Arabidopsis thaliana: one gene and its partner. The protein of the gene in region 1 interacts with the protein of each later gene in a pairwise test. Each region holds a gene or a part of one and is shown on either strand. Other genes may lie near its edges.

Evidence for each region.
Region 2: the proteins of ARPC1A (region 1) and ARPC4 interact in a two-hybrid assay, tested with the Arabidopsis thaliana proteins (one study listed by BioGRID).

Annotation. Positions count from the first base shown.
Region 1 is NC_003071.7:13,146,618-13,157,532, reverse strand, and holds ARPC1A (actin-related protein C1A), read right to left. Parts: upstream 4,745-10,915; 5' UTR 4,636-4,744; intron 4,361-4,635; exon of another isoform or gene 4,295-4,360; 5' UTR 4,087-4,294; coding exon 4,017-4,086; intron 3,647-4,016; coding exon 3,558-3,646; intron 3,363-3,557; coding exon 3,286-3,362; intron 3,183-3,285; coding exon 3,088-3,182; intron 2,972-3,087; coding exon 2,902-2,971; intron 2,644-2,901; coding exon 2,574-2,643; intron 2,339-2,573; coding exon 2,265-2,338; coding exon of another isoform or gene 2,246-2,264; intron 2,178-2,245; coding exon 2,135-2,177; intron 2,038-2,134; coding exon of another isoform or gene 2,014-2,037; coding exon 1,932-2,013; intron 1,797-1,931; coding exon 1,708-1,796; intron 1,614-1,707; coding exon 1,528-1,613; intron 1,371-1,527; coding exon 1,307-1,370; intron 1,108-1,306; coding exon 1,007-1,107; intron 885-1,006; coding exon 826-884; intron 732-825; coding exon 664-731; 3' UTR 501-663; downstream 1-500. Other genes in the region: COQ3 (coenzyme Q 3), read left to right, coding at 5-124; TBL43 (TRICHOME BIREFRINGENCE-LIKE 43), read right to left, coding at 5,116-5,419, 5,584-5,742, 5,831-6,006, 6,097-6,274, 6,763-7,052; AT2G30890 (Cytochrome b561/ferric reductase transmembrane protein family), read right to left, coding at 7,870-8,197, 8,429-8,577, 9,135-9,302, 9,631-9,759. UniProt on the Arabidopsis thaliana protein: Functions as a component of the Arp2/3 complex which is involved in regulation of actin polymerization and together with an activating nucleation-promoting factor (NPF) mediates the formation of branched actin networks.
Region 2 is NC_003075.7:8,151,238-8,161,347, reverse strand, and holds ARPC4 (binding protein), read left to right. Parts: upstream 1-4,557; 5' UTR 4,558-4,631; intron 4,632-4,980; exon of another isoform or gene 4,981-5,021; 5' UTR 5,022-5,101; coding exon 5,102-5,104; intron 5,105-5,276; coding exon 5,277-5,342; intron 5,343-5,675; coding exon 5,676-5,728; intron 5,729-5,837; coding exon 5,838-5,865; intron 5,866-5,963; coding exon 5,964-6,038; intron 6,039-6,254; coding exon 6,255-6,359; intron 6,360-6,756; coding exon 6,757-6,850; intron 6,851-7,179; coding exon 7,180-7,286; 3' UTR 7,287-7,541; downstream 7,542-10,110. Other genes in the region: PAKRP1 (phragmoplast-associated kinesin-related protein 1), read left to right, coding at 1-993, 1,107-1,205, 1,290-1,442, 1,515-2,303, 2,416-2,703; AT4G14145 (cytochrome C oxidase assembly protein), read left to right, coding at 8,257-8,456, 8,562-8,688, 8,772-8,849; DMT2 (DNA methyltransferase 2), read right to left, coding at 9,217-9,366, 9,511-9,729, 9,814-9,975, 10,066-10,110.

The DNA of each region.
Region 1 (10,915 bases):
GCAGGTGAAAGAGATAGCTGGATTTGTGTACAACCCAATAACAGGAAGATGGTTATTGTCAGATGATATTAGTGTCAACTATATTGCTTATGGGACGAAAAGGAAGGATCTTGGAGACATATAATCAATCGTTCCAAGTCGTGTTTCTCTGCATATCTGCTTCTGAGTTACAACTCTAGTTCATGCTTTAAAAACTAGGTACTCTGGAAGTTGCTTAGGACGAGGACAGTAGTTGTTTTGCAATAAGTGAGAAACATTCAAAGAATATTTGGTCTTCTGAATCACACTTCTGTCATCTGATAGAAGATTAATGTTTGTCGATATCTCGTTTTGTGGTAAATATGGCATAGTTCGGAGGACCAAAGCTTTTTGCTTCTTCTCAAGAACTTGAAAATTTTGCGAAATTGTTGTGTTTGGTTCAATATGGACTCCTTTCGACACAAAGCTGATATTACTATATATAAAAGGTATTACAAGATGCTAACTAAATGAATCAAATCATGAAGCCAAGAAACTTATTAATACCTGCCCTTACACAAACCAAGAAAATAAGGCCTTTTATTGTGGCAGTTTACAAAGTGAAACAATTACGAAATTGAAAAAGTAGTTTAAACTTAAGTAAAACCTTGCTTGTGAGCCAGAATTGTTTTATTTGTGTGTTTATTAAAACTGATTGCCAAGTTCTTGTTCCATGTTCTCCAGATCCCATATGGCAACTTTGCCATCCAATCCTATAAATAACAAACCGTTATGCGAGTAAATGAAACTGCTGGTTTGTTTTTTGAGAACTGAATCGGCTAATTCCATTTTGTATTAGTGACTGACCTGAAGTGCTGAATCGCATTACTTTAGGACTCCCTGCTTTGCTCAGAGACACAATGGAACTGCAATTTTCAGGTAACCTTCCATGTCAGGTTCTTAATAGACAATCGAAGTAAAAGAGTTAATGAGGCAGGTTTCTGGCAAATGATTTGGTAAAAGAAAAGTTAGCTTAAGAAATAATTACTTTATGCAGTTATCATGAACACCTCCACGTGATTCAGAAGCATCGTTGGCTGTTGTGGACTTTGATTGACTGCCGTAGAATTTTCCAAATGCTTCAGAAAACTGAAAAGATAACATAATGAAAAAAAGGATTAGACAAAACAGTACAAATAATGCAAGTGGAAAGTTCAAAGTAGTAAACCCAAGGAGAAAAAAGGAGCAACTACACTAACCCGAAAGATTACTACTATCTTAGAGGAACACTTCAGGAATAAGCTAAGTTCACTCATATTTTATTCAAGAAAGAAAACATGGTATGTACCTGCGAACTGTAACTGGAATTTGAAGATGCTGCTTTCTTCTCTCCGATGTATCTGATAAAGCTCCTGCAGACCATAAACAAAAACTTGTAAACAAGGCAATCATCGGTGTGTGGATGATTTCAGAAATAACTATCCGGCCTGAGAGCTAAGGAGAATTAATGAATTGAAGTATTTGATTGTCTGGAAATAGCTAAGAAAGAGAAAACTAAGAGTTACACACCATATTCCAGTATCATCTGAGGCAAATACCATCGGGTTGCTGTCATATCCCACGCCTATCACCATTTTCTCAGAAATAAACAGGACCTGAAGATAGCAAGTTCCCGATAATATATCAATTCAGGATATAACACATGAGAACACTTTCTCAAAAGAAAAAAAAGAGTGGATGCTGACCCACATCACGAAGAGGCAAATCTCGAAATGCAACGCTTTGGGCTAAAGGAGAAGGACCAACATCATCAACAAAGTAAATCATGGAGCTATGACCTATAAACAAGATTGCATGAACAAGGGAAGTGAGACGGAGTGTAGTAAAAATTATGCAACCAAGGTGAAGTTCCATTTTTATAATTCCAGTAGAGCTCAATGGACAAACATCTTAAGTTTTAAGGATATTCTGACCTACATAAGCTAAGGTGTTTCCACTTGGAGACCATTTAACACCAAATGCCCAAGAATATGAGAGATCAAGCTGAAGAATTTGCTGTTTCAACAGAAAAAAAGCTCCCTAACATTAGATAAGAGAGTGAGTAGAGGGAACATATATATGGCAGAAGTGGTATACTATTTACTAAAAGAAGGAAAGCCAGCCAAACGAGTCAAACCTCCCCAAATTTCGTTTCCGCTGGTGAGCCTGCTTTTGAATCCCTGTATCAGCCCATTGAAAGACAAATAAGAAACGGCCTCATGTTTGAAAAAATGTTTTAAAAGTAGACGTTCAAGTAATGAGCATACTTTGTGTCAACTCCTTTGATAAATGTTGAAAATACCCGACATTTTCCATCTGTTGATGTCGTTGCCAGAAGAACCTAATGCATAACAGACAATCAGAGAGCACAGCAACATAAAAAAGCATACGAGAAAAAATGATTTAGAAGATTAACTAGTTTGTGGAGATTGATATTCTATTTTTAGGGATCATGTACTCTATACTCAATCTGGTGGCCAACTTATAGAATATTTTTGGTAGAGAATGCTTTTACAGAGAGCCTGCTTATTATTTTAACTACATGAACTACAAGAGGTTCTGTTGATTGCACGTACATTATTAGGATGCCAAGCAACAGATGTGACTGAAGATTCGTGCCTTTTCCGGATTAGCTTACTGACCCACCTGAAAACAGTAAAGCCAAGCAATGTCAGATACTAAAAGTTTACATGAAAGTATCTTTCTAAAATCTCTAAACAATACACAGTTATGCATGCCAAGATAATAAAAAATATGATTGGTGCTAATATCATGCCAGTACATAAGACAAAATAATATCATTACATAGACCAACAACACCATTCGTAGCAAAGAAGTCAGGAAACTTGCCAAAGAAAAAATCAAGGACTAATAATGAGAATTAGGAGCAGAAGAAGAAAATACCAGTTATTCTCTTGCTCATAATAGCAAATACAAACAGTTTTAGCACCACTTCCAACAGCAAACTTGTTCTCTATGGGTATTGAGCAAAAAGATGAGAACATAGATTAGAAGCTGTAGAAATTATAGGAAAATTACACTACATATTACGGAAATTAAGCTTAAGAACCAGAAAAATTAAACATTTACCTTTGGGGCTCCATTGGACACAAAGTGCAGCACGATTTAGTCTAAGAATAACGAGAGTTGGTACCCATTCAGCTCCTTCCAGGCTCCAGACGTACCTTCAAGAAGCATTCTAAACTCAGTTCAACGAACGAAAAAAAGTGAAGGACTAAGATTAACAGGTTTGGAGTTTCTCAAAGTATATCAAAGGTAGCAACTTACGAGTTCCTGTCATGAGAAACAGTGACGATTTTGTTGGACTTTGAGCTCCAATCTATTCCAGAAACAATTTGGTCATGCTGCAACAAGACGAACAATAATCATGAAGTTGTTGTAAGGGAGATTCAAGCTGTCTATACAACACTTATCAGCGACAAGTGATCAGTGAAATGAGAATACATAAATATACGAAAGTAAGGAATTCCCAAGAAGAGAAAGCAAAAGGAATGCAAGTTCAAAAGTTACAGAAAGAGAGGGAGAGAGAAAGGTTTCACCTTTTGGAGGACATGTAACCTCTCCCAGTGGTCTTGAGACAATGATTTATAGATATGAACTTCAGTGTTGTTAGGACAGAGAGCAACCACTACCAAGAAAAACGAAACAAATGTCAAAGCACATAAATGGTTACAGGCTTTAGTACAGACGTTAAATCATTTGTAACAATAGATTTGGTTCATCTGTTTAGAAAAGCGCATCTACTAATGTACAATACTAGATACCAAGTGTTCCTAACAAGAGACACCGACAAACAGACATATAAAACATTGACTCGAAGAAATTTGATTACCAAGATGTATAAGAATAACACAAGTCAATTTAGTTGTATCATCTATCTATCTTCCCAGCCAAACTAACTATAGATAGATCCTCCTCATTTATAATTCTAAAACGGAAAAAACGACGGAAGAGAGAAAGAAGAGAATCACAAAATCAGAGAGGTGTTAGAAACATACTGGAGAGATCAGGACTCCAAGCATGGCAAGTGATTGACTCAGCGAAACGATGAACATCCACCACTGCCATGAGTGATCCTTGTTGTCCCAAATGTGTTGTAATGAAGACAGTCTTTTCTCTCAAATTGACATCCACAGATTCCTAAAACGGAGTCGTACGGTGAATAGATGGACAGATAATTATGATGAAACGCCGATGAGATCCGGAGGTGGACGACGACACAGTCGCAAACGTGAAGTGAAAGAGACAGATGTTTTTTTTTTTTTTTTTTTTTTTACTAAAGCCCCAATTTTTATGACCAGATCAATTTCAGTTTTACTTGGACCTTTATTTTTGGGCAAACCAGCATAATAATAAGGAAAAAATCGAATTATTTTTATTTTTAAATCTATAGTTCTGTAATCTGCATTAGTTTTGTTTTTGTTTTTTCCGATAAAAGGCTTAAGTTCTGCATTAGTTAAATACATTAATGTAGATAAATGGATTCGATCCAATTCATCCATGTAAAAATAGAACTATATCTCACTATGAGTCTATGAGTATAGAGTAACTTATAAAGTAATCTGAAATTTTTAAAAAAATATTGATTAGTAACTTTTTTCTAAAGTAATGTTTTACTATTAGTTTTTTCGTTTTTTTTTTTGTATAAGCTTTTGAATCATTGACCCAAGTCAAGGGGCTTGCACCACTATATTAGATTTTGATTTAGCATAATCCAAAAATAACTTAACCCCAAATCATTGTACAAAGTTATTATATAAGCTACGCTAGTTATCCCCTCTCGTGGAATAAGGTTTACTTCTAGTTTTGGTCTTCCTCTAATCTCTCACTTAGAGATTCAGGACACATATTTAGTCCATTCAATTATAACGAGATCATAAGGTTATATTCTTGCAAATTCTTCTCTTATAAATTGTTCGACCAGTCAAAGAATCTTGTTCTCATTTAAACATTTTGGTTGACAAATGAATTTGAAATTCTAAATAAACATGTTTATGACATAAAATAAATGTGTAAAACAACACAAACATGGTTAGGTCATAAATAAATGTATAAATCATATAATGAATTTAGTTTTGTGTCAAAACCATCAAAATTTTAAGAATGAAACAGCTCAGAATACAAGAGCTGGTTCCAGCTATCCGGGACTCCAGAGAGACACCAATGGCTACAATCCGCCATTCTGTGACCGCCAAAACCGTATACTGAAGGATGTCCATCTTTCCTTAGCTGAGACATCAATGTCACATCCATTAACCGCGCCTGATTCTTCATCGTCTTTATCACTTTCGCCACCACCATCTCGGCTGCGTGCGGCCCAGCCAGGTAACTCGATCCCATAATCGGCTTTGTTTCTCCTATGCAACTGCCTTTGCCACCTTGTTTCGACCATTCCCTTGCCCTGTAACATTATGTACCATTATTGTTAACAATATCAACATGAAATTATTTGGTTCTAACGAAAACTTATAGACTAATCCAACATATATCAATCGTGTTAAGTTTTTATCGTTGATTTAATGTATGTATCGAATAAAAAAGAAGTTATATAGAGGTAGAACTTACCGGCCATGGTCCGGAGAAATACCTTGGAAGAAGACTTTGGTTTTGGAAGGATCAATATTTTGATCAATCCACTTAGCCCAAGTCATCATTGCTTTCTCATATGCCACTAACCGGTCCATGTCTTTAACCGTTACATTCCCGGACATAATTGCGTCCCATCTGCAACCCCAAATGATTACATTAGTTAGATACTAATAAGTCCATAGTCCATAGCAAAATATGTTTGACGACATAAAGATGATTTTACGGTTGTTTTCGGTCTGTGTGAAGCCACCAATGCCAAGAGTTGAAGACCAAAACGTCTGCGGTTTTCCACAACGAACCACTCGAGATTGAGTCAAGCTTCATCACTCGCTTCGGTGGGGCTCCGACTATATCCACAAGAAACGCGTTTCTTGAAAACATAATCGAAGAATTGTAAGCCTGCATTGCATGCATTTAAATACGAACCGAACCAGAATTATTAAACCGGATCAATACCGGAACGAGTTTGATAAAGTTAGAAAACGTTACGGGGAATGAGAAGACGGAGAGGCCAGAAGGGGAACGTGTGGATGTGGAATTGGCTTTTGGTGCGGCGTTGTGGAGCAAACACGTGAGAGATTGCCATTGGTTTAGACTCAGTGAATCTCCTACGAACATCAGTTTCTTCCCTTTCATTATCCTTCCCAGAAAATCTAAGCCGTTGAATCTGCACCATTCATCATTAATCAATTTAACACTTCTATATCATTCATAGGAGAAAATATTCACGTTTAATAATTTACCACAAAATGGTTGGGTACTTCCGTTAATTTGTAACATTTTGTGACTTATTGTCTTTGTAACAGTTTTATTCCAATAAATGATAGTTATGGATTTATGTACCAGCTGCTTCGGTTACTAAATTCTATAACATTCTTACATAGTTACATATGAACTTATATGCGACATAAAAGGGGATTTGAATCCAATAATAAATCCTAATTAAAAACCTATTAATCCCCCTCAAGAAATACTAAAGACGTTTTTGAAAATGAAATTTTCCGATACAATGCTAGTTGATGCCCAAGTCGTCCTGAAGTATAGTGGTACTCATAGCAATTCACCTATGACTAGTTACATGCCTTAAAAGTTAAAACGCACTAGATCTACATATCGAAAAACGTTATAAATACCATAAAGAAAAGATGGAATCACCTGGGGAGATTGCAACCGGAAGGTTGCCATCGATACTTGAGGTACTCGCTGTCAGGGCGACCATTGGACTTGCAGTTAAACTGTCTCTCGATGAAAGGGCAATTCTTGGAATCATAGAGAGGGTAAGATTTGTCATAGACCCAACTTCCTTGATAAATATTACAAAACTTTCTAGGTGGTAGCCCTAATGATGAACCATTCGCACTAGCACTCTCTATTTGTTTTAACAACACAAGTATCATTAAAACCATGACCGATACTACTCCGGTGGGAGCAGCACCTCTCATCATTGCAAAAACTCACACAAGTTGTCAACGTTTGTGGTTTGGTGAAGAAGAAGAATTGTGTGATTTAATTTTATTTTCTTGTGTGCCTTTGGTTTTTATATATCGGCATATATATGATGTGTTTGTGTGATATATATGTCTATTGGCTCTGGTTTAAGAAAATACATGTAGATTTGTTTCTTAAATTAGAGATATTTTCTTTCTGTCTTAATAGGTAAAATGAATGTTGGAATCTTTATTAATGAGGAAAGAGATAAGTTTCCATTTTACGTTGGAGTCAGTTTTGGTCTAGAGATCTAGAGATCTTATTATGTGTGGAAGTTTTTTCAATACTAATATATGGAAGTTTATATCTTTGTATATTATCTTATCCTAAATTAATTTCTACGCGGTTGGTTTAAAATATCATTATTGTTAATGTGTAACATATGGTTTGATTTGTTTTTTGTTTTTTTATCTATTACTTTAACTTGATTAGAATGCTGAATGCTCAAACGGCCAAACCTAATCCTCAAGACACTCATACGTCAGAGACAGCATGAAAATAGGTAGTGTTCCTTCGTCAATTCCTCGGAAAATTTGGGACATTTCTTCTCATTCTTGATACACATGTAGCTAAAATTTAGGTTACGACTTAATCACTGCCTATGACTATGAGCATGTTACACTTGAAAATAACAAAAGAAGAAAGAAACTCGAAAGTTAGTCAAATCATTACCACTACAAATCAATTCAAATACCTTTGAAACTCTTTTTGTCTCCTAGAAAACAATCTCTCAAAGTAAGACCAAATTACTAATAGCTTCTTAGCTTGGCGCTTTTAGCATTTCTCTAACTCCGGTTTACTCTCTTCGACCTCGTATCCATGGCCAGTCTCTGCGGTTGAGATGTTGCTGTTATGATCAACGGATTGATTTCTGTTAAAGGTAGCTTGGCTTTGGATATAAGACCATTTATCTTGAAAAAGATAGACCAAGGCAATACAAGAGAGTTGTGCAGTGAAGAGTATGGTCCAAAGATTAGCACTTTTTGATGTCTTTTTGGCGTAAGCGTGTAAACCTGTGTATATGTTTATTATCCCAAGAATAGCAATTGATGTTCCTAATATCCAATGTCCTACAAACCACTTCCTTCTAGCTTTTTCTTCTCTGCAATGCGAGTAAATCAATTAAAGATTGAATATAAAGTACTAGACGCATTTCGTAGTTCTCGTCATCATAACATTTGATTAAGTCTAACTAATTTGCATTCAAGATTTTTCTTAGAAATATTCAAGAACAAAATAATGAGTGTTATTAATCTTAAGCTAGCTTAATTTTGTCACAAAGAATTATCGGTGTAACAGCTTATTTTATTGAAGAGAAAAGAAACAGAAGTACCTTGGAGGTCGGAGGAAGCCAAGAAGAGCTTGGAACCATACAATGACGTAAAGTCCAATTCCAAGCTGTTGGTGATGATTACTGAAGGAATTGTTGAAGTTTATTACTGACATTACTGCCCCTATTGTCACAAGTATCACTGCAACCATCTGCTTCATAAATTAATCACATTGTTAATTGCTCACTTAATATTCCAAGTAAACTATGAGCCGCTTGTTGATAGATAACAATAGTTAAAAGTACTTGCTGCTGTTTAATTATCAAATATTGTTTTGTAACAAAATTGACTAGCTAGTAGGTGAGGTTTCTTAGTTAAGTATCAGAATGAGAGAAAGAGAAAGTCAGAAAGTCGTTAAAGCTAAAAATAAAGAGGAAGAAGATAGATGCTTTAGCTTGGCCTTCAAGTTTCCATGATTATCAATGTGATTAACAATCTAGAATAACCTAAAAGGCCCTACTAATTACTAATGGAGTACTAATTAAAAATCACGAAAAAGTTGTTAATTGGATGCAATCTTTATTGTTTAGATGAAGAGAGAAGCATCTTTGCTTTACTCTCCATCCACCTATCTTCTCGCACCGACCATTAAATTTCATTTTCAACTTATACAATACTTTCAACATACTTATGATTTAGTTTGTTGAATTGTAATATATATTTGATATATATAATTTAAATAAGAGAGCCAAGAAAAATGAAACATGCCTGAGAAGTGACATGAAGAAAGAAGAGTCGTCGAAGAGTGATTATAGGTTGGTCTTTGATAGACATTAATCTGATGGAGATTATACCAATTGGCATCAAAACACCCATCGCTGCCCAAAGCATAAAGCCATGCACTTTGATTTCGTACACAAGCTTTGGATTTAGTTTCTGTTCAAGAAAAATAAAAATAAGAGCTTCATACCAATATATATTCAGAGTTTTTGATTAAAGTTATTAACACGCAGGCATTTTATACAGAGAGTAGGAAAAAAAAACTATAACCTTTAAGCATCATGGAATAATAATATGTACATGACTTACATACATTATAATCATGCGATGATAAATAAACTCAATAGGTTATAAGATCAGAAACAAAGGAAATGCCTGGAGCTTCATTGTAAAGATTTATCAGCTATATCAATGAGATTATGAAGAGTTTGAGATTATTAGATTTTAATTAGGATAAGCGAGAGAGAAAGAAGAGCATACGAACCTCGGAGATAGGAGAAGTTTCGACTGGACCATTGACATCAATGGCCAAGCTTCTGGTGTTTTCTTGGGAGGAGCATAGGGGAAGGAGGAGGAAGAGGAGAGAGACTAAGAGTTGATGATGAATCTCCATGACTTCATGTGGTTTGAAGTTGAAACAATAAATACAAAGTTTAGAATTGATGATAATCAATTCATGAGTTCATTTCATAAGTATAACTGTTAAAGTTTGTGTGTATCTAGCTCTTTGTAAAGAATTGGATGACGGTATATATGGAACTTGAATACTTGATCCACTAGTTTCTTAGCTATAGATAGAAGAAGAGAAAAGAAAAGAAAAGTTTTAGAATTTGCTTTTAGAGTGTAAAGAAATGTGATAAAAAGAAAAAAAAAAAAAGTTAAGCTCGCAACTTTGTTATATAATATGGTTTTGCATGGAGGTTGATGGTTTATTTTACTAGTATCTCTGAATTTAAATGAAGAAAAGCAAGTGGAGGAATGGGCAATCGATTTGATATAACGAACTTCATTTTTGTCAATCTTAATTAGATGTTAATAATGATGTTTTATATCTAAAAAGGACTATATATATATAATTTGAGTATTGAATTTAATTAATGAATGTAAGAAAAAACAGAAGAATATTCAAGTGGATGTCACTATCTCTGCGACTCTACAGCACTTTTGGTTTTCTATGAAAAAAAAAAGAAGAAACTGAAACTGAAAATTCCTTAAGGTCAGATTCATCCAAAAGTAGAATTTTAATGGACTTTTATGTTTTGTGGAAGAATGTCAGATTTTGCAAGGGAAAGTGAGTCATGGCAGGTTGCACTAGCTCATAGACCACTAACAATATGTTACTGTCAACAAACATCATGATTTCACTATGGAAGGTATACATGAATGACCACATCACATGGATATATATTTTCTTATTTTCAAACACTAATCATAAGAACATACCAAATTTTAGATAAATGGTCAAACTTATAAATGTCAAAAGGTGTCCAAATTCTGTAGTATATTATATAGTAGAAGTTTCTTCTTATTTTGGAGATTGAATATAAAGGAGCCAAAAAAATATGGATTTTGATAGCTTCTTAGACGTTTCATTTAGGAAATATATGCATGGTTGGGTTGATGAGAATGCCATAGAAGTGAAAAACAAATGAGAAAATTCATACAAAAGGAATCTACATACGTAGAATAAAGCAAGAGGACCACTTCACGTTTTGCAGCTTTCCCACTTCAGTTAACCCCAAAATTGAATATTGTCTTGGCTTACATGT
Region 2 (10,110 bases), on another chromosome or scaffold:
GTGGGTTTGCAATCATCTTTAGCTTCTGAGGGGATCAATCACGATATGAACAGAGTAAAGAGTATACATTCATCTGATGGCCAATCTATAGAAAAGCGGCTTCCTGAGGACTCAGATGTTGCCATGGAGGATGCTTGTTGCCATACTGAGAACCATGAACCAGAAACCGTGGATAATATGAGAACTGAGACAGAGACTGGCATCAGAGAAAATCAGATCAAGACACACTCGCAAACTTTAGATCACGAGTCCAGTTTCCAGCCTCTTTCAGTCAAGGATGCTCTTTGTTCTTCACTGAACAAGTCAGAGGATGTGTCATCATGCCCTGACTTAGTTCCGCAAGACGTTACTTCAGCAAATGTATTGATAGCTGATGGAGTAGATGATCCAGAGCACTTAGTAAATTCTGCATCTCCCAGTCTTTGTATAGATCCAGTTGGTGCGACTCCTGTATTAAAATCTCCCACACTGAGCGTCTCTCCTACGATTAGAAATAGCAGGAAAAGCTTGAAGACATCAGAATTGTCAACAGCATCTCAGAAGGATAGTGAAGGAGAAAATTTAGTTACAGAAGCTGCGGACCCATCTCCGGCTACATCCAAAAAGATGAATAACTGTTCTAGTGCTTTGTCTACGCAGAAGAGCAAAGTTTTTCCTGTACGGACTGAGCGGTTGGCATCTAGCCTCCACAAAGGAATTAAACTTCTTGAGTCGTATTGCCAGAGTACAGCTCAAAGACGATCGACGTACAGGTTTTCCTTCAAAGCTCCAGATAGTGAGCCTTCGACCTCTATAAGTAAGGCTGATGCAGGTGTGCAGACCATTCCCGGAGCTGATGCAATATCAGAGGAGAATACAAAAGAGTTTCTGTGCTGTAAATGCAAATGCAGAGAACAATTTGATGCCCAGCAAATGGGTGACATGCCAAATCTTCAGTTAGTACCTGTTGACAACTCGGAAGTGGCAGAAAAATCCAAGAATCAAGTTCCCAAAGTAAGAACTGTGACTTTTTTCTAACATAGATTTAGATAGTTATTCACAGTCTTATTTTGTTTCCACATTTCTATAATTGGTTCCTCCAACTGATCGAGTTTTACACTTTACAGGCAGTAGAAAAGGTTCTAGCAGGTTCTATCAGGAGGGAAATGGCTCTGGAAGAGTTCTGCACTAAACAAGCCTCTGAGATAACCCAACTTAACCGACTGGTATGATACTTGCGTCTTTTTCTGTTTTTAATCTCCCTTAGTAACTGTATCCTCAAACATAAATTGGTCCAAACCGTGTAATAGGTACAACAATACAAACATGAGAGAGAGTGCAATGCCATCATAGGACAAACAAGGGAGGACAAAATTATTCGCCTTGAAAGCCTTATGGATGGCGTATTATCTAAGGAGGATTTCCTTGATGAAGAATTTGCTTCTCTTCTCCATGAACATAAGGTAATTGTGGCTTCTCGTTTTGTAAAAGGGTATTTGATTGCATTACCCTTTTACTGACATGTAATGTTGCAGCTTCTAAAGGACATGTATCAGAATCACCCTGAAGTGCTTAAGACGAAGATTGAGTTGGAAAGAACGCAAGAAGAGGTCGAGAATTTCAAGAACTTTTATGGTGACATGGGAGAACGGGAAGTGTTATTGGAAGAGATTCAGGATTTGAAGTTGCAGCTGCAATGTTACATTGACCCTTCTCTTAAATCAGCTCTGAAAACGTGTACCCTGCTTAAGCTTTCATACCAAGCTCCCCCAGTTAACGCTATTCCTGAGTCACAGGACGAGAGTCTTGAGAAGACATTAGAACAGGAAAGACTTTGTTGGACAGAGGCAGAGACCAAATGGATTTCTCTCTCCGAGGAATTAAGAACTGAGCTTGAAGCCAGTAAGGCGCTGATTAATAAGCAGAAACATGAACTTGAAATTGAGAAAAGATGCGGGGAGGAGTTGAAAGAAGCAATGCAGATGGCCATGGAAGGGCATGCACGGATGCTTGAACAATATGCAGACCTGGAAGAGAAGCATATGCAATTGCTTGCAAGACATAGAAGGATTCAAGACGGAATAGATGATGTCAAAAAGGCAGCTGCAAGAGCTGGAGTCAGAGGAGCAGAGTCCAGATTCATAAATGCACTTGCAGCAGAAATTTCAGCCTTAAAGGTAGAAAAAGAGAAGGAGAGACAATACCTGAGGGATGAGAACAAAAGTCTCCAAACACAACTAAGAGATACAGCTGAAGCCATACAAGCAGCTGGAGAGTTACTTGTTCGGCTTAAAGAAGCCGAAGAGGGATTAACAGTTGCACAGGTACGTTATTACATTTTCTAAACATGTCAGGTCACATCCTTGAATAAGTCTGTTGCTTTTATTATTATGCATGCATGTTCTTACATAAAATCTATGTGGCTTGTGTCAACAGAAACGTGCGATGGATGCAGAGTATGAAGCTGCAGAAGCATATAGACAGATTGACAAGCTGAAGAAGAAACATGAAAACGAAATCAACACACTTAACCAACTCGTCCCACAATCTCATATTCACAATGAATGCTCTACCAAATGTGATCAAGCCGTGGAACCATCAGTAAATGCAAGTAGTGAGCAGCAATGGAGAGATGAGTTTGAGCCGCTTTACAAAAAAGAAACTGAGTTTTCAAATCTTGCTGAGCCTTCTTGGTTTTCGGGTTATGATAGGTGCAACATATAATTCTAATATCTATTTTGTGTGTTTAATGTGTATAAAATGGGTGTCTGATTCTGTGATATAAGTCCAATTTCACTCATAACTTGCAACTCATTATGTACAAATGACGCAAACCTCCTGGATTCGTAGAAGATTAAACCAACCTTCATGCAGATCTCTTAGCTTAGACTGCAATCCTAATTCCCAAACAATTCTACTTTTCATTTTCATGAGCGTGCTCCTTCCTTTATCTCGCACTCTCTATATTCTAGTAACAATATTCATATTTTTGGGTATTACACTAAATAGCAAATTACACTAACGGAACTACGTCTATCAACGTCTTCAACGCCAACTCCACGATCGTGACCTGTCCGGACAAATATGTTCTAAGATTGTCGAAGCCCAACTGCAAAGAAGTCAAAGTTTTTACTTGCCACAACAACGTCAACAACCTTTATTCATGATAGTCTCTGTCAGATTGACACACAAGTTATACAGTGTTGTGCCTTGTATTTCTTCTCCGTCGGCGACAGATTTGGACCAAGAAGAAGAAGAATCGGAGACTTGTGCAATCTGTTTGGAGAATATGTCGAGATCTGAGAATTGTTGCCAGATGCCTTATTGTAAGCATTGCTATCATGAAGGATGTGTCACTAAGTGGGTGATTACACTAAATAGCAAATTACCATTGTACCTAAAAACAACTCTTCCATATCTCAAAAGGGTATAGTCTATGTGTGTTAATTACCATTTTTTACAATCAATTCGTCCTGTTCCATCATCAAAGAGTAAATCTAACTTTTGTGACTTTTGAAACATCTTTGTCACACACTAGACCAACAAGTGAGACCTGAATATACCAAAAACATCACACAAAGACTTCTATAAGATCCATATATAATTTTTTTTGAATCTACCTCTTCTCTACTAATACAAATCTGTCCACAAGTTCTTCATCTACCATTCTTTTCACAGACGCAGACTTTTTCTTATGAATAAAACAAAAGATACAAGAAGAAACGATGTGAAGTAAAACATTACTTCCAGAGACTATTAATAACTCCGTACCGTTCTTCGTTCACCATTTGTTTGGCTCAATTTTCACAAGTTCCGAACCTATGCAATATACAACCAAATGGGAATGTCATACTCATATAGTAGATATTAGACATCTTAAAACAAGACATATGTTGTTGCTTTTTGTTTCGTTTTGCATACAGTTGTTGCTCTGTTGCTGACTATCTCTCGAAACCCATCTGAATAATACTCTGAAGATCGTTTTCCCAGAAGGGCGGCACCTAAAATAACACAACGCACAGCTAAGTAAACTTTCAGAGGAACCAAAACAGTGGAAAAATTTACATAGCAACCCAAAGTATCTTCAACATTAAGTACCTCATCTTGAACAAATTCATCACTTGAATGTAGTTAAGGACTCAACGAGTTCAATTGGAATTGAGTTTGAGTCTCTTATAATCTTGGAATGCTCTTGCCAAGAGAAAAGTACTCTGAAGGAAGTCTTGCCTCTGAGCAAGAAATCGACTGCGTTAACTCTCCCAGCTGCAACATCTACGCATGCAAATATGATATATACTACTCATCGGATACAGAACATTCTACAAGAAGCAGAGCCAGTCTTTGCTATAAATGAATACAGTAACATAAACAGATGTGTTAAAGCGCAAGTACCGCTTGTAGTTGTAGATTAGAACTTAGAAGTAGAGCAACCCGGTTCACCGGTTCAATCCGCAGAATCTTGCTGGTATTTGTGGGTCAATGAACATTCCATTTTAGAATGTACCAGATCCGGTCGGAGTGTCTGGTTTGGTTCGGTTTTGACGCATTTCGTTTCACTTATCCGGTCAATTTGATCGTGATTCAATTTTCCGATCGTTGATCTCTAAATCTCCTTACGATCTCTCCTCTCACGAGTCTCCAAGTCGTCCAAGGTATGCAATTTGTTCACGACCAAGGTTTTAGGGCTTTTGATTTGTCTGATTGATTCCTAGGGATCTAATTTGATTTCCCTTTCTCACATTTTCCAAAAGTTTCAGACTTTCAGTAGATTGGCTTATTTCTCTAAGTGGGTCTCTCAATAATCATGATCTTGTTGTTGCTTCGAGTTGATTACATAGAAACTCTAGTCTCCGGGATCTTGCTGTTACTTGATTGTTATTTTGTTCTCTTCTTATCTTAAACATTTGAGAGTGTTTTGTTTTCTTGTAGACATTTTGATCCTAAAGTTGCTTTCTTATTGACGTTTAGTATAAAAAAGTTGGTAACCTAAATTCTATGAAACTAAAGATGCTTTCTTGTTTATGTTTGGATTATTTTTTCAGCTCATAAAGATTCATCGAGAAGAAAGATAAAATCCTAAGTCTGGTGCAAGTCTCGAGTAGAATAACATCATTTCTAGGACATGGTAAGAACCTTGACTGTAATTCTAATTTTGATTCTTCTCATACTTGACAAAGACTCTTTTTCATTCAAACATGTCCTGTTTAGAAACAATTCTTTTAAACAATGTCTATCGCATACTGATTTACTGCAGAAATTGTTTAAAATTTGCTTCCGATGGGTCTTTGATGTTCCAGGCAAACTCATTACGGCTGTATCTAGCATGCATAAAAAATACACTCGAGGCTGCCATGTGCTTACAGGTACAAATTATTTTTGGTTCATGATATCATGGCATAGGTCTCAAAGTTTCCATCTTTATGGTTAAGTTTGTTTAAGGCAGTTAAAGCTTCATGTTGGCGTTCTATCTCATTCATCCACCTTTGGTCTGTTATTCTCTTGTATTAGTTGTTTACTTTTTGATTAGACATGTTGTACCATCATTCACTTACTTTTTGACGTTTTTCTCGCAATATTTGGTGTCAGAACCTACCGATTTCGTTAAAGTAGGTGAAAGGGGCCATGTGGAGTCTTTGAAAACATTCAGCTTTACATGGTTTATATTCCTGAAAGCTTCTATACTTCTCTACTTGCAGAATTTTCCTTGTCAAGAAGTTGAAAGGCATAATAAACCAGAGGTTGAATTAAAGTATGTAAGCTTCTCACAAGAAGATGCATGTGAGAATGGGGTGCTCTTCTTCCATTTTTATTTCAAGCATAGAATCTTATTATCACCATGTGTTTGCTAAATTTTGTAGGACGAGCCCAGAACTTTTGCTAAATCCTGTAAGAAGTTTACTTGTTTCCCTCCCAGTTTAGCGTTGATATTGCATTGTCTTCTTACCTAGGTTTTGTAGTTGACTGCTAAGTTTTGCAACTTGCAGGTTTTAATATGCCGAAATGAGGCTGAAAAGTGTTTAATAGAAACATCTATAAATTCACTCCGGATAAGCCTCAAGGTAAATGTTCATCTTACCCTAGCTTTTCCTTCAAATACTTCCAGGAAGAGCCCCAGTGGTACACTGTTCAACAAAGGCTTTGTGTTGTTTTACTTTCCTGTTTCTCACCGTTTCCTTTGTTTCTTTCTCCTGAGATAACGTCTTGACGAGTCGTGACTTAGTCTAGACATCTGTCTTGTTCTGCTGTTACAAATATTTGTTATCTTTAATTTGCAGGTCAAGCAAGCGGATGAACTTGAAAACATACTAACCAAAAAATTTCTCAGATTCTTGTCCATGAGGGCAGAAGCTTTTCAAGTACTGAGGAGGAAGCCAGTGCAGGTAGACCTTCTTATTGATTCAACACTTAGGTACTTGTGAGTGCTACTAGGTTTTATCTAGAAGTTGCAATGCATTCCCTCTTTTGTCGAACTTCTATTTTTTTTTAATGGTAAATGCATCACGAATTGATTAAACATAACGCAGACAGTATTCACAAATTCTCCTTAATTTTAGCTTTCTGTGCAGGCATTTTTTAGGTTTAGGATGATAGATAGTCTGTATGTACCACACCTTTCCTTTCTTTTTCCCTTCTATGAATCATGAATCATGAATCATCTCACTGTGCGGAAATGCATTGCCTTGGCTTTAGATGGTTTACTGTTTATTCCCCTGCATTGTGTGAACGATCCATTCCCTTATTCCCTTCAATTGGTTTCTTTGTTGGTGTTTTGAACAGGGCTATGACATAAGCTTTCTTATAACAAACTACCACTGCGAAGAGATGCAGAAACAGAAGCTAATTGATTTCATTATTCAGTTTATGGAGGCAAGTCTCTCTCGAAACCTAATCTTTTTATTCTATGACCTTGGTTGCTCCCATTAGTAGCATCCTAACAATCAATATATGTCTTGGTTGCATCAAACCTAATGTTAGTGATGCATCCTTACGTCGTTGTGTTTCTCACGGAAATAACTTGAGAAGTAGTATTCTGAATAGTTGCCTTAACAAAGGTCATTATATCCGTCTTTGAATTTGAATTGTTTCTACAAGAGTCAACAGAGATTAGTTACTCTGATTATGTCCTCCAACATGCTAATCTCCGCTTAAAATAGATTTGAAACTTGAAGTGTGACTATTTTTTAACCATGGAAATTGCAGGATATAGAGAAAGAAATAAGGGACTTGAAGGAGTCAGTGAATACAAGAGGAAGACTCGTTGCTACGGAGTTCTTGAAACAGTTCATGTAAAGCAGCTCTTGAAGTAGTATAATGTAACCCTTCATTGTATCAATCACTCGTTATTTGGTTAAAATCCATCTACTCTTCATTTTGCTACTTTCTCTGTTATTCTAACACAACCAAAGTACCGAGCCATCGGCTTGGTAATTGTAGTGTATGTAATGCGATACTTATCAAATGTGGTCTGTTGATCGTAGATGTTCGAACGTACAATCCCAGAAACCAAAAAGTTGTTTTATCTTATTCTTACCACCAAAGACCAACAAATTGTTCATCTCTGACAGAACAAAGATCCACAACAAAGGAAAAAACGTCGTCGTTTCTTTTACACCGTAACCCAAAATATGAGTTACTGGGCTGGGCCCATTATTGAAACTAATAATAGGGGAATTTATTAATTTGTTTGATTATTTCCTAAAAGAACGAACGACGCCGTATACACCGAGAAGCTCAACGTTCGTCATCACTCTTCTCGCTTCTCGGCGTCTCCATCGCCGTCTCTATCTAATCTCGTCCTGCGTCGACCTAGTGAGCTACTTCAGATTCCGGCCATCACGCAGCTCCAGGTTAGTTTTTATTTATGTCAAACAACGAATCGGTGTGTTGTGCCTAGAATGGAACTGATTTCTGGGTTTAGATTGAGAATTTCTACGGTTTAGGAAACGTTATTTAGGTCATACGAATCTGTTGTTTGTAGAAGATACGACGAAACAAATCCAGTCACGTGAAACAGAGCTAGTATTGATCTTTAACTCTGCTCTATTATCAAATTGATTGAGTCGATCTGAAATTCACAGATTACCATATTTGCACACTATGTTTTGTGACTAATTTCAGAAGAAAATGTTATTAGAGAGTAGAAAATGGATTCCTCAATGCTTATTGTAGTAGCTACTCTTGTGTTTGTTTTCAGGATTAAGAAAAATGATAACAATGTAGTAGGTTCTCACTCTTGCTTTTTCCTTGCAGTTGTATGCTTTGAGAGTTAATACAAAGATGACAACAATCGAAACCGGTCAGAAAACTCAAAAGTCTTCTCCTTCCGGTTCTGGTACTACCCCTACTGGTACTCTTAAGCAGTCATCAGCATCGTTTAAAAGGTGGGGAAGGAGACACCCGTTTGTAAGATATGGACTTCCGATGATATCTCTCACTGTATTTGGAGCCCTCGGACTCGGCCAACTCCTTCAAGGCAGGTCAGTTCTTTCTTGATTGGAAAACCTCTGAATCTATAAATGTCTGGGGAAATGTCAATGATTCTGTTTAGAATTCACCACATATGGTTTATTTGGTTAGTTCAGTAAGGATATTGCAAAGGTAAAAGATGACCAAGAATGGGAGATTATAGAAACAAGAAAGGCACTTTCGAGAACAGGACCTGTCGATGCCTATAAACCTAAAAACACATCCATTGAAGATGAGCTCAAGGTAACAAAGGATATACGCTCAATTAGACTGCATAAAAGCTTTGATGAAACACTAAAATCTTGACTGGGTTTTGTTTAACGCAGGCTATGCAAGAGAAGGTGGACATAAACACGTACGAGTACAAGAAAATTCCAAAGCTAAACGAAAGCAAGTCGAGTTAAGAAGAGTCTTTGTATAAGATTAGTCTTTTTAGATGTGTTTCAGTTTTAAATGACTCTTCAGTTCACATAATCGCCCAAGTACAAATTCCAGTAAGTTCTGTCTGGGCTTCCTAAAACCAAGAACAACGAGGGACTTGCCAATTGTTGATAATACATGTTGTCGTGTTGATTTACGACGTCCAAATAGATCTGAAAGAGGTTTTATAACCAGTTAGACTTTACATCTTTATACCAATTTCTACACAACTTTATTTTCTAGTAAAATTTCTCATACTTCATAGACATCATTTCTTGCTTCATAGACTTTGAGTTTTAAGAAAAAGATTATACTAAAAAAAATGAAATGATGGAGGGACTGCATTTCCAATTATGATTGGTGTTGAAGAGAACTCTTGAGATATAGGGCTTCTTTGAGCTTCCGACCGAGAGCGAAGGCCAATGGTGGAGGGACTGCATTTCCAATTTGCCTATGTTTGTGTTTTGTCGTCCCTGAAAACTCGTAGCTATCCGGAAACCCCTACATTTTCATAAAACAACACTTTCACTTAAAACTGTTGTATCCATAACCTAACATTACTTAATGTCCAAAACAAAAAGAAATATGTACTCTATTAGTAATGCTAGAGGGCTGACGAAGAAGGAACATAAGAACTTTTTTTACCTGAGATCGGGCGCATTCACGGACAGTGATTATTCTGTCCTGTTCAGGATGGAAGCACATTCCCACCTTACCCATGGGCTGAGGATCGGTGATGGAAATGGGTAAGTTTCCTTGCCAGTCCAATCTACCATAGAGTCCCTTCCATTCGTTGTGGTTTTTAGCTGTCTTTGATAGAGCTAAAGGACGCAATTTTTCCACGAGTCCATTTGATAATGTCACCTGTAATATTAAAAACATTGCATGAAGTTGACGTATAGATTTAGTAAGAATTGTTGTAGTGGAATGTATAAATGTAAGACTGACATTTTCGTCCGGCAGGTCACGCCAATCAGCACCAGGCCTCTTTGGGATTTTCTTACATCGAATGAGGTTTAGTTCGTTCAGCCCTTTGCAGATATGATCAGTGAGAACACTCATGTTTCCTCTTATCTTCTTTTGGAACCACGAGGCTGGAGTAGTTCCATACTTCATACAAGACACAAGAAACATGAGTTCATGTTATTTTATTTAATGTAAATGTATAGATACTTTCTTCTAGTAATTATTAAACCATACCTCTTTGTTTATCTTGGATTCTCCGTTTTCTACTGGTGGAAGATC